2 linked regions of the Styela clava genome follow. The main gene of each other region encodes a partner of the protein of the gene in region 2 in a complex. Links are inferred from orthologs where the notes say so. Each region holds a gene or a part of one and is shown on either strand. Other genes may lie near its edges.

What was found.
Region 1: the proteins of apoptosis-inducing factor 1, mitochondrial-like (region 2) and mitochondrial intermembrane space import and assembly protein 40-like are in contact, whole or in part, in a cryo-EM structure (PDB 9GQZ), measured with the Homo sapiens proteins. The link is inferred for Styela clava from reciprocal best matches to the Homo sapiens genes AIFM1 and CHCHD4. Residues at the interface, in NP_004199.1 of Homo sapiens: Pro345, Tyr347, Ser500, Ser501, Leu502, Pro503, Thr504, Val505, Gly506, Val507, Phe508, Ala509, Lys510, Glu558, Asp559, Tyr560, Asn602, Ala605, Lys606, Phe608, Asn609, Ile610, His611; in NP_001091972.1 of Homo sapiens: Arg5, Glu7, Lys9, Asp10, Arg11, Ile12, Ile13, Phe14, Val15, Thr16, Lys17, His20, Thr22, Pro23.

What each region holds. Positions count from the first base shown.
Region 1 is NC_135258.1:10,889,694-10,895,552, reverse strand, and holds mitochondrial intermembrane space import and assembly protein 40-like, read right to left. Parts: upstream 1,785-5,859; 5' UTR 1,664-1,784; coding exon 1,627-1,663; intron 1,551-1,626; coding exon 1,449-1,550; intron 1,010-1,448; coding exon 639-1,009; 3' UTR 626-638; downstream 1-625. Other genes in the region: pantothenate kinase 3-like, read left to right, coding at 2,861-3,088, 3,630-3,849, 5,802-5,859.
Region 2 is NC_135263.1:617,639-625,906, reverse strand, and holds the start of apoptosis-inducing factor 1, mitochondrial-like, read right to left. Parts: upstream 3,287-8,268; 5' UTR 3,257-3,286; coding exon 3,172-3,256; intron 2,481-3,171; coding exon 2,347-2,480; intron 1,368-2,346; coding exon 1,292-1,367; intron 636-1,291; coding exon 526-635; intron 1-525. UniProt on the Homo sapiens protein: Functions both as NADH oxidoreductase and as regulator of apoptosis.

The sequences.
Region 1 (5,859 bases), on a different chromosome or scaffold from region 2:
TTGCTATCGATGTTGTGGTATCGGAAATACCTCAAAAAAATTCATTCTTCCCTAATAAAGAATATTTATTTTTAAAAATCCACAGTGGAGCGAGCAGTGTTACCTATTAGTAATAACTATCTCTATTGCAAGCATCTGGTTTTAAAGTAATTTTTTGCCTTCATCTAGCGGCCTGGGAAGTATAAAATGCTCCCCCCCCCCCCCCAATCACAAAATAAACACTTAAGTGCACACCTTATATAATTAATTACTAGTCCAGGCTGCTTGCTTTTAATGCTACTCTATTTATCATTTTTTCGCATGGTGTTTTTAGGCTAGAATTAAGCACTTAAAAATTTGTTGTTTTTCAAATATATAATTTTCTTTCAACTGGGTAATGAGACTTTATTATTTTGTTAGAAAGCCGTAGTCGCAAAAGATTGGACTAGCATTTGTTCATGTGAGAGTACCGCTGAAAAGCACTTAGGACCCAGCGGCCACAATTCAGTTATGTTTAATAATAGATAAGAACAGCCCTTAGTGGGGAAACTGCACTTTGAAAGCATTCACTCACTTGTGGAATCGTGTAAAAAAATGTAACAAAGTATTCCAGAAAATACCAATCAAACTTGTCTTAATACAGAACCTCGCAAACAAACTCATTTTTCTTTAGAATCTCCGATATATGCAGCAGCAATAGCAGGTCTGTTTTCGGTCTTCATATTAACCGTTTCTGAACCATTTGAGTTCTCAATTTCAGTCTCATTTAAAGCATTAGCTTCAATATTTAAATTATCGTCATTGTCATTTTGCTTTGAAGATGATGGTTTATAAATGTCTCTATTTTCTGATAAACAATCTTCCCATTTAGAAAAGTTATCAAAACATTTTTCCGCAAAAGAATCTTGGTCGTCTCGATTTTCCACCCAACATGTGAAAGCTTCACGAAATGAGGGGCCACAAGGTCCATTTGGTAGATTTCCAAGACATGGACAATCCCAGTTTATATCTCCATTCGGAAGTATTGCGCCTAGGAATAATGAAATATTGTCAATAATTTTACAATACGATTTCATACCCATACCACAAGGCAAATGAAATACGACGAAACTATATGGAAAATCATGGTGTGTGGCCTTGATATTAGGCAGCCAGAAATAAGTACAGGAATTGTAAAGTCAAAAAGATATGCATTCGTAACAATTCTTCAATCAAGTCATATGCAATATCAAGAAAATTAAACATGAAAAATATAGCCACTACTTGATGAGGACATTAATAATGTGGTTTGAGACGGGTACAAATTTTAAGTATAGGGCAGTAGGGGTATCCACCGTTTGAATCTTATAGAAATAATGTAATTAATATGCGTCAAGCTCAAATCCCATGGATAAATTGCTTATAACATTTGATTTACGACCTATACTCGTATATTCGAGCATTCAAATAATAAAAAAGGCATTGCTAACCTTCATGGCTGGTATCTACATCGCTGGGATTATCCGGGAGAAGTGTGACCGTACTGGGACTGGACAAATCGTCCTCTGTCGCGAATATTATTATGTCTTTCCCTGAACAAACAAAACATTTTATAGTCATATTCCATGCGAGTGAGAATAGCTTTTAGATGAAATAACTGAAACTAACCTTCTTTACGGCAGTAGGACATTTCTTTTATCAGCATCCAAGCGCCCTAACTTCTAAACCGGAGCACCTGCCAGACCAGCGTGACTTTCACTGTTTGCAGTCACCGATATGCCCCAGTGGTTATTTAGACAGGGTATAAAATTAAAATTTCACAATATTTATAAAAGACATATACAATTAAATCGAATTACAGTAAAGTGTGGTAATTAAAATGTTTCTTGGGTAATTTTGTCACACAGATTAAAGTACGAAAATTAGCCATATGCATCATTTCAAACAGCCTCTAGCTTCCGACAGAGAGCAATAATTCGTACCTCATGAGTCATGATGCGCAAGCAAAGCGCGGACCGCGTTTCCCAAAATCCAACCAAAACAAAATCACCATTCAATTCGCGTTCGACAACGCCGGTATCGCGTTCTTTCGTTAATGTTACTAATGGAAATTGCATTATTACTGCATTGCCATTGAAAGACTGGGCATATTTATTATTTCAGAATACGTTGATTTTTAAACGATCTTGCATTTTTGTATTATTTTTATCGCTCCGAGATTGTGTGACTTGTGTGTACTGTGTACGGTAGTACCGGGTACTAACATATAAAATGATCTATTCAATTTGATCGTGGATTTAAATTGCTGTATTGTTAGTACGGTAACCAATGTTATTAGAGGGCTTCGAATAATGAAAATGCAATGAATACTTTGGTGGTGTGGAATTTGTCCCTCTTAAATTTAGATCAAATTGAATGTGGTTCTGAATGTAGCCTATGAAATGTCCAATTAAAACTATAACTAGGCTATATAAAATTTAGTATCAAAGTAGGCTGGCTTGATTGATATTGCAGCATTCGCCCTGTCTGTGATGCTATGAATGCATGTACTAAATTTGGATATTGGCATTAATAAGGTACGGTATCACTGTATCACCCCTTGATATGTTGAATGATGCACAACTTACAGCGGCTGAGGTCAGTAGTTTATTTTATCACATGCCGAAAGCACACATTGTACAAACATAATTAAGAAGATAAGAGAAATGCATTTCAGTGTGAAATGAGACGCAATGAACCAGTGATGGTTATCGAACAGCATCACCTAACAGCCTAAGACGGAGTCTAACATTAAATCATACTGAGAAAAAAGAGTCGAACATAGAATAGAGGTATCTATAAGGTCTTGAAGTTGCTTAACATTGCTATTTATTCCTTAGTATTTTATATTATTTATATAAAAATGGCTACAAGCGATGCCACAAATTCACCACAAGGACGTCAACCATTTCCTTGGTATGGGATTGATATAGGAGGTACTCTGGTTAAACTCGTTTATTTTGAACCAACTTCAATGACGAAACAAGAAGTACGAGATGAAGAAGAATCTTTGAAAGTAATTCGTGAAACCTTGTTATCGAGTATTGCGTATGGACAAACTGGAGTGCGGGATGCTCATTTAGAAATCAAGGTTCATGGTTTTTTGTTGCTTTGTTAATATAGCTGTATAAAAAATCATTTAAGTTATAAAATCAACACAGTTCTCCGGTTTCAAGGATAGCCCCTAGGTTAAAAGACATCAATAATAACAGTCAGTGCAAACCCCTCATTTACGAGACAATCTTGGTATTCATATTGATACAAATTGGCAAACCGTCAGTGCGCAATGAACTAAAAGGAAGCGCAATCTTGAGATGTCACCATTAATAACAAGCTATTGTGAATTAATAGGAATTGAATTTGTAGAATGTTTGAGATAAACATTGTTTTGATTATTACCGTAATAGTCTTTTTTACAGCACGAGGTAAAACTCAGTTTATTTGTTATGTGAACGGCAGAGGTTAAATTTAAATTTAAAAATATTTTAAGTTTTTTTAAAATCAAAAATGTTTACTACCGTACTTTTTTAAATTTTCCATTGATTTTGTGCCCCCTGTTTATAGTTTTACTTTTACCATGGAAGAATAATCAAACAATGTCCCTGGTTCTCTAACAGTTTGATCTTTTTCAGGGATTGAAATTCAACGGTTATGTTGGCAACATGCACTTTCTTCGATTTCCAACACACAGGATGGATAGTTTTATTCGAATGGTCAAAGAGAAAGAATTTTCAACCATGCATAATATATGTCATGCAACTGGAGGAGGAGCTTATAAATTTGAAGAAAAATTTTTGAAGGAGATTAATCTAAGACTCAACAAGTTGGACGAATTTCAATGTCTGATAAAGGGTAATTAAAATTTTTTTTGTTTACTAATTCTGGTAGTTTTAACGAGGTTTGATTTTAAATTTTTTTCTCATCTCTTTCAAGTATTTATATTTTATTCTATTTTGGTGACATATTACACATTATGTTGAACACACTCTAAAATAAAATGAATGTGATTCTTGTAACCTAATCTTGTCGTTGTCGCATCAGCTCTTGTAGCACAATCAAAAATTTATGATTCAATGGGCTAAATTAATTACAACTCTTAAACTTAATTAATGCGTTGCTATTTTTATCAACTCAATAAAGACGAGAAACCTACATGAAAGTTCCTCGAAACAAGAGCCTAGCTCTTAGACTAGAAATTCCCCAAATTGCCCTTCAGTCTGTCAATTGAAAATTTTTCCACAAGTACCCTTCAATGGCTACTCATCATATATGGTAGTTGCTATATTGAAGAAGTTAATAATAATCAAATATCTTTAAATACACCCTAGATCTAAGTTAATGTTGATATGCCACGAACGACGAACCAAATAAAAGATTAAAAATTTGTAAAGATAGCACATTGCAACTTTGTAGAGAACCCCTAAATATTTCCAAAGATAGTTTAATTATGTGCCTAGCTACAGTTGAGGTAAGCGGGCATTTGTGTTTTGCAGGAATGTCTTAGTGTATTATGGAACTTGACAAAAATCAAGATTTTTATAAACTTTTTGTGGTAGCAATTATGGTTTCAATTAACGAAGTTAGATTTTTGCAAATAGCTTATTGATAAAACTGACATATTTTAATAATACCGACGTCATCATGTTGAAATAGCTTATTAATAAGATATGTTTGTTTGCTAGAATGGAATAAACTCGCATATTATGTAAATTGTTGTCTTTCTTCTTTGTCTCATATTTTGTTCTCATATTGTGACCAAATATACCAATTGATATTTTCAATTTTTTGCGGAAATATTTCAATTTTAATTAGTACGTTTTCACTTGCGTGTATGACAGTTTATAATTTGATATTGAGAATAGCCAGATTTTTTTTTCATCCATTGTATGTAATATACAGTTGGAGTTCCTTAGTTAAGGTATACTTTTGCCAACATACCACTAATACCAATGAAATTATGAAGAACATACATCATTCCAACTATGATTGCAGCACGACACCAGTTATATTACCGGTACTATCTTTTACTATATGCACCTAAGAATATTATGTAGTTTCAAGTATTGATTAAGAGCCTTAATATGTGTTATGCTCCAAGAAAAGAGTTCCGTGCCTGTACATCTGTCTCTTATGTTTTTGTTCTGATCGATCAGGATGTATACTGCAAGTCAATCCTTATGAGATGATTTTTGTTTGTTTTAATAAGCCTCGAAAGCTTTTATAAACAAGTTCAATGTTGCATTGTGAGGATTCTTTCATTCGTGGTAAAATTTAATATTGTCGTATTATTCATTTTAGTCAAATTCAATACATAGGAGTTTGTTGATTTCATATCATGGAATTCAGCTTTCAAATTTGAATTTCATAATATTAATAAGTTCAATAAATAACATACTAAAATACGATGTGAATTCACAAGATATGTCAAATTTTTCAAGTATTTGACATTGTTATTTTGCCAAAGGGCCAAAATTTTAAGAAAATACTGTAACTAAGCAAAAATTCAAATATCATTTAGATATTTTCAAAATTTTTTCAAGCCCTTAATAAATAGTGAATGACTAACTAATATTTTTTGCTGTTGTGGCATGTTTTTACTGTGTTTTTTCATAATGCATATTAGTTTAATGTCATAAATGATTTGTGGATAACCGTCGGTTATATTTGTGCTAAATAAATAAATTTGCTTTTATGCAACTTCAATGGTTCATAGTTACTCTAGATTGGGATATCAGAATTAATTGCTCTTTAAATACAACTGTAAATACTTTGTTAATAAGTAACTATTTTACTGTTTTCGACAGGAATTCATTTTATCGACCACAATACAGAAGTCAATGGAAGATCTGAATGTTTTTCTCT
Region 2 (8,268 bases):
TTGATCCAAAGACCGTAGTTTTCATATGCCAGCTCTAACCACTAATCCATCGCTCTTTGCACACCCAGTCGAGAGTACTTTGCGGCCCACAAGTTCAAATCCTGAAGAAGTTTCCGGCACCGCTATAACCCTATATAATTTTGTCAGTGATTGCGTGTGACTTTGCTTTGTGTATATGACAATGACAACACCCACTACTATAGATCCCAGAACAGTAGCAAGAGTATCTGCTTTTTTTGAGTCAGAACAAACATCATTGAACAGGTACTCCCGTAGCCGTAGAATGCGAACCAAGATGGCGGACACCGGAACGTAGTATGTGGTCCAGGTAAGGGTATTGCCTAAACCTAAATGTTATTCTAATTTTCTATATCTTAGTTCTATTAATACGAGTTCAGGGACTTGCCAAGTGACTCCCGTAGTATGCGTACCTGGAATTATGGCCTAACTCTAACATGGTACACGTACTACGTTCCGATGTCTGCCATCTTGGTTCGCATACAACAGGAGTACCATTGTACATACCTTTGCAGTTGGATCTCTCTTCTTAATCGCCCTCATGGCTGAGTGTGATGCTGTTCCTCCTCCGATTAATAAATATTGTGTTGATTCTGGAATCTCTGGAAGAACAGGCTCTGGATAAAAGTTAGGATATTATTTTCAAAATTTCAAACGACCCAGTTTTGGGTCGCGACTTATAAGTTGCAAAACACTGATAATCCAGGGGCGTTTGATCTAGGAAAATAGAGAATTAGAAGGATGTTATGAGCCTGAGTTTGGCATATATCAATCCAGGACATAGAAGTCGGGGAAAAATTTACAGTAGAATCCCAACGTTGAACGGTCAACGTTGAAATAACTCTGCGTTGGAATTGGACACCTGACTGTGTAGCCGTACCATGAAGTTTAATATTATCCTGGATACAGCAATAAGGAGTTTATTATGCACTCCAGGGTCAGCCTATTCAATTTGGTATAAATCAGAGCCTCTCAAACTGGGGGTCGCGCAATCAATTTTAGGGATCGCAAAAAGTTTACCAATTTCACATAGAGTCAATATCTATTTTAATTTTGATTCGAAACACAATTATTAAAAATAGTGCAAAACATAATTATCACGATTTCGGGAGAATACATAGGATCGGAGAAGAGGCACGCAGCCTACACAACAATGCCAACGTAACAGAGTAGGCAGAATATTTTAATATATTAGAAGGGGTCACGAGCTTGAAAATTTGCGAAGCCCTGATCTAAATAACTTAATTATATTTTGGTATATCTGGGAATTCACCTTCTTCAGTTTGGGCTTCTTCATCATCTTCTTGTTTTTCTGCAGCTTTAGCTTCACTGGAACATTGGAAAGCAGCCTGTAATGTAAAGTATGCTATCTGTTACCAGCATAAGATAATTCTCTATTTTAATTACATTCCAAAACAGTGGTTTCCAAAGTTGAATGATCGGGGCCGAAATTAGAAGCGAAAGGATATTCGCGGCCCGCAGAGGTTCTGGTATATATAATTTAGATATCGGTAAAATCGAATTGTTACAAATATACATGTAATTAAACTGTGATAATGACATAACAATTTGTGGTATTACGAAAACAAAAAGGAAAAAACAAGTGTTAAACCATTTCACTTAAATTCGTCAGACCGTAATGAATCGTTACGCGGGCCATGATTGGCCCATGGGCTGCGGTTTGGGAACCTCTGTTATAAAAGGGCATGTTTGAATTTATAATATATCGAATATATTCTGAATTGGTTCACGTAATCACGTTTAACAGAAACATATAAAATGGGCAGTGATTTGACTGCTCCGCTGTTTTTAATTTTCAGAACAAAGTAAATAGAGGCTCTCAATAATAGCGCGAGATTTCAAAAGCTCAAAAAGGCAATTCAATTCTCAAATGAAGTTATTCCAAAATCAAAATGTAGAATTATGAATACCGAATATAAATAATCTCGAATAGAAATTGGAATGATTCAGGTAACTCTGAACCAGTGGTTCCCAAACCACGGCCAGTGGGTCAATTACGTCTCGTGGTAGATCCAATATGGCCCGTCGAACTTAAGTTAAACACTTCATATGTTTTTTACATTTTGGTGTTTTAGATACCGGCAACCGTTAGATCATTATCCCAGTTTAAGCGCCTTGTTCCCCTTGCAGGCGCTTCCCTCTCCTGGCACGCTAAGATCCTTCTGCTTCTAATTCAGACCCCCGGCCTAGCGACTTCGAGAACCATTGTTCCAATTTCTATTAGCTCTTTACACAGAGCCTTGTTCAGAGTAATCCTATGCACTTTGTGCTCATGACCTAGTTTTTAATCTATAAAAATCCACTTACAGCTCCAAAAAATATCATTCCAGTCCCGATACATAGTAGCGAGCCGATATGAGCCGGAAGATCTAATGAACGATGGGAGTAAAGCTGTAGACGATTTGCCGGCTCTTTCCGAGTGAATCTGTATGTTCTGGAAACTGAAAAAATGAAATAGTCTTTAAGACAGTGTTCCCAACTGTGTAGAAATCAGTGTTTCAATAATGGGGGAGGGGAATGAGGGTTGAAACCTCACCTCTTGAATGTAAAAAAAGGCATTTTTCTGTATCTTACATAACAATTTTTCATAGTTTGAAACGCTTTTCAGACCCTCAAGAGAGTTGGGCCTGCTGGCTGTTACAATCTATTTCAGAACCCTGCTTTGAAAATTCCTGGGCCCTCTGTTTCCCCATCAGTGGTCTCATTTTTCTGGTCTAAAATAATACGAGACACAAGAATCATGCGCAGTGGGGCGTTCCCAACCATGCATCGCGAGAAAACTTTTGAATGTGTCCCAGCCTGCCAGGGCTTGGACCTAAAAAATGATCAAATCTGGTAAAATCAACAAATTATGCATTTATAAAATATGGATATTTGTGCAAAGGATTTAATGACCAAATCAATTGGAATTACTGCTAAAATTAATTTGCAAATATGACAAAATGTGCGAAATCTACAATCATACATAAATAATATAAATTTTATGAACAACCATTTGCTTTCACCCTGGAGTTGTTTTGAAATGGCTTGGACTTGACGCAGCATAAAAATATTCTCAATGTCTGCTTCAGCTATGCTTAAATTGTGACACCTAATCCCAAAACACTTTAAAACCAAAAACGAACTACTTACATATATTTTGTGATGTTTCCTCATTTTTCTTTAAATTTCTGACGAAAATTCGTGCTTGATTGCACGTCCTACCACATCTATACATGATTGGAAGTTAATTGTCTGCAAAAAATATTTTAAATGCAAAGTTAGATCAAAGTTAGGTTTGAGTCATTTTATTTAGGCGACTCGAGTCACTTCGGCAAAGTTCAATAAATTAACGGCCTTTTTTGTTGGATTTTGAAAGATTAGTACAATATTGCAAAATCCAATATTATTCAATAAGTAAAAGTAATGACAGAATGACAGTAAAGTACGGTGCATATTGCAGTTTCAGTCTAATTCAGTGATTACAGAATTAGAATTAGGTATATTACAAGAATTCTACATTTTTTACTGCCTGTGGTGACATTCAGATATGACTATACCGTACCGGTATAATTTCATTCTCTGCCACTGGCGGCATGATAGCGCTATGAATGTTCCAAGACCATGCATCTACTGTACTAATAACTGGAACTAATATGTACCGGTAGTAGTAGTATTTTATTTCGTCAACAATGTCGAATAGTTTACATGCAACATGGTCACCCATTGCAGTATTGCCATACAGCCGTAGCATAGGCCACCAGGCAACATCAACACGTACTCTGCTAATCTGGCAAGAGATTCGTAATATGAGCACACCGTCCTATCGTCTTTCCTCTCTACGAGGATAAATAAAATAAAAATCCTATCTTATTGATGCAAATTTGATTTCGTAATCTCGCATTAGAAACACCGCAGCGCACATTTGGCAACTTTCATTTGACCCCTGAGATGTGTCGGAAGCGTGGGGGTCAAAGTGAGTCGTGTTGCGTAATGAAATAAATCGATAATTTTCAGATCTTCCGACAGTTTCTAAGCCTTCTCATTTGTTTAAATGCATTTTGAATAATATTTTATAGATTTTTACATCGATTTTTCAACGGATAATGACAGATTAGTCGAATAATATGACGTAATATGTCCGTGGCCGAACGACGAGTGCAGGGAGTCCATATTACATCATACGACTTTAGTGGATTTGAATTGTGGACGGTATTTACAACATATATGTATTTTCAAACAATTGAAGTTGTTGTACAATTGTTGTTTATTTTGAGTGAAAGAAAAGCCCATAAAGCGACTCAATCGAATGGCGAAACGCGGCCCTCACAAGTTAATGTTTTGACAACACATAATTGGTTAGCAAATCCCATACCCGACATGGACTGGTAAACGGACGAGAGGCCGTGGTTAGCAATATGATTAAGCCGACCCATCGGCTTTCCTCTCGCCAGGATAACTATGTAAATTCTATCTTAACATAGTGAACAACAGAAAGCATGATAAAATAAGCAAATAATCGGTTTTGCGGCTCGGATTGGTGTCATACGCACCGATTGCTCACCATTGAGAGCGAGATTAATTATAGGACTCTAAATTCCGCAATGGAAAACTGTCACCTGTGGTCCAGTAAATTTAAAAGATCTAATTACCCATTTCTAGTTGAAGTCATTGTATAAGCTTGACCAGATCTGGATAATGAGTGGAAGGCATTCGCAAAAGTGTGTCCGTGAAATACAGGTCACAACTGCGTCGCTATAACATGGAAATAATTGTGTTGTGATAGTAGGAATTACATTACCCTAAAACAAGGTTTCCCAAACTGGTGTCCGTGGACCCCTGGGGATCCGTGATGACTGCACAGGGGGCCCGCAACGATTTAAAAAGATACGGATCGAACTTTAATGATTGATTTCAATCAAAATGTCATTGTATCTTTCTAATTTATCGTTGTGGACGATTATTTCTTGCTGCGCTTTGCAACGACCTGCATGTGCGAGACATCATTCTCAGCTCTTACCAATACGATAGCAAACTACAGATTCTAGACTTGCCATAGAGTCGGACCTAGTTTGTGTGCCACAAATTACTCCGAAAATTGTGCAGAGAAAAGCAACCTCATCCATCATATGTCGTTTGTATCGTGTTGTAAATAGAACATTGTCCTTCCTCGCTGGTTAGGAACAGAAATTGATACGGTATAAGGTGTGGGTCCGTCAAAACTAAGATTGATAAATAGGGGTCCGCGGTGTAAAAGTTTGGAAAACACTGCTCTAAAAACTAAAAAAACAGCACAACTTCTGCTGCTCCTGCTATTTAAAGTGTCGGGTTGCAGTTTTAAATATATATATATATATTTAATCCGGAATCTTGCGTCTTCTGATCTAAAAAAAACCTTGGGATACAAATGTTTACTTCGGAAACGTAAATTCCGTTTTTTTTTTATGTTTCAGTTAAATTATTACTTCTCATTTTTCCTAGTTTTATTGCTTGATAAGGTTATTTCACAGGATGTGTTTTGACCTTGTTGAGCATGAATTGTTTGAACATGGCGGGTTGTGGAATATATCAATCAAAATTAACACTATGAATACCTCTGGAATGATAAAAAGGGGGTCAAAGGTTGGAAACTACTGGTCAAGGACACTAATCCGCCATTTCCCATCTAAATCTGAGAGTCTACATTGATTTTGTTTAAATATATTGTTTAAACTAAACATATTGTTTAAATTTATTGCAATATCTAATAGTTTCCACTAACATTAAATTTATTACAATTAAATAACCATTTTTGCTAGTATTAGTTTTGCGTTCATAATTATTCTTAGTTTATACAACTGAGACAGTAAAAGACAACTAAACTATCGCATACGGGTTCCTCGAGCTTCTGGAATGTTTCTGGTTCCGTTCCACCAAAAAGATTGGAACCACTGTCGAATGGCACAATGCATTCACGAGTATCGGCAAGATCGATATCGGCTAAGTGGATAACTGGGTTCCATTACATTTGAACCCACGTACATTTGAACCCGTAATTTGAACCCACGACAAGTGCACCTGCATGCTATTGCACCTATGAATTTTTTTTACGGATATTTAAATCCATACTAACCCTAACCCATGGGTTTTAGCACCCGAATATAGATTGAACCCGCGGATATACGGGTGCAAAAGTACGAGTTCAAATGTACGGTCACCGGATAACTGCAGTAGGATTTTCATTTATTCCCGATCAAAAGGGAAATTTAATACGGCGCAATAAATATGACGATACACGGCCTCTCGTCCGATTACCTGTCCACATCGGGTGTCGAAAGGGCCAACCTGCATATTTTTTCTTGTATATATTCATGTCAGAGGTGTGCAACTTTTACAGGCCGGCCAAATACGAATAACTGGGCAAACTGCGGGCCGCATCTCTATTTAACATGGGCTTTCTAGTGGTTACATGCATAAAAGTTGTCGAGCCAGCTGTTAGCGCTAAAATGAGCAAACTACGGCTCGCGGGTAAAATCCAGATCCAGACCAAATTGGGTAATTTGATCTGGCCCGCCTGATGCTGCCACAGCCAAACTAAAATCAACTTTTGATGTTTTAGCTGAAAAATAGTTCAGGGAATTTGTTGAGATTGCGTTCAGATTTAGTTTTGACACGAAGCTTATTGTTTTCCACTTTTGCTTTTGTAAATATTATTTATAAAATGTTACTTTTACGTCACACTTACATGGCCCGCCAGTCTAGGTGGGTCTGGTCCCTGGTCCAAAAACCTTGCCCACTCTTGTGTTAGAGCATTGAGCTTCATATGCATCAGGTATAGGCTTTGCAACGCCAAACGGATAGGAAGTTCTTACGCGTACCAGATTAAACCAAATTAAAAACTTGTTTCGCTGGCCGAACATCATTCGAAATTGCCACCTCTCTGCGGGCCGCACAATTTTCCTTTGTGGGCTGCAGGTTGCACACCCCTGATTTACGTTATTGATTTGGTTAGATTATTTTTTTGACAGTCGGTAGGCGACATGTCAAACCCGTCCGCATTGCGAGAAGGGTTGTTGACGCCAAATATATCTTCCAGACTATGGTATATAAATGACAATTTCTAAAGTGACAAGACCATGGTTAGCGATGTACACAACACTAGAGTATTCCCCAGCAACAAACTATCACAAAGCAAATAATTTTTCCGCGTGTAAATAAAATAATATTTACTTTCTCGGCGAGAGACTGTTCACGCCACACCATTGTTATCTCATAAGTTAAGATATGTGATTGTTTGTGACATCACAGAAACCATAACTCAGATAGTTCGCTGAGCGTTCACGCACAATAAGAAACATGTTTCATCAATAACTTACTAAAAAGAAAATTTTCTCGTGTCAGAATTACATTGTAAAATAATATCTTCTAGAAAAATTGAAGGATTCATCTCGACATTTGCCGTACAAAAGGAAAACAAGATGGCGGCGATTCGAAATTTTCGTCTCCACCGATTCGAATAATCTACTACCCGATTCGAATACGTTCATCAATTTGTTCAAAGGCTGGAAGGGAACATAGCGTATAATGTTCGATGGCCATTAAAACTTGTCATTGGGCTATTTTCCTGAGTCCTGTGAGGACGATATTTCACATGTTGTTGTTTTTATATTTCATGGGAACACCTAAATATGACATCTTGTTTACATTTTCCTATGGCATCTGTTACAATTCATTTAACATTTGCCCGGAATTTTGTTGGCATCCCGAAGTCATTTAATAATACACACTCGAGCATTGCTTGCAACGAGTTTGAAGAATACTGCTCTATAAGCGAACCGCACCAGTTTCCTTGTATGTTTCTTTTTTACTTTAGAGTGAGCATCCGTAACTTCACTCAGACATCAATCTCCTTTACTTCTGAGTGAGTGCGCGAGACTTTGCTTAGAGATGAATCTCCTTTCATACCCTGAGTGTCCGTAACAATGCTCAGAGATGAGTTTTCTTTACTTCTGAGTGCCAGTAACTTTGCTCAGAGATAAGACGTCATTACTTCTGAGTGAGTGCCCGTAACTTTGCCCAGAGATGAGTCTTTTTTACTCCTGAGTGTGTGCCTGTAACTTTGATTAGAGAAGAGTCTCTTTTACTTCTGAGTGAGTGCGCAAGAGAGAGTTCGCTCAGAGATGAGTCTTCTTTACTGCAGAGTGAGAATCTGTAACTATGCACAGAGATGAGTCTCTTTTATTTTTGAGTGAGTGCGCAACCCTGCTTTGA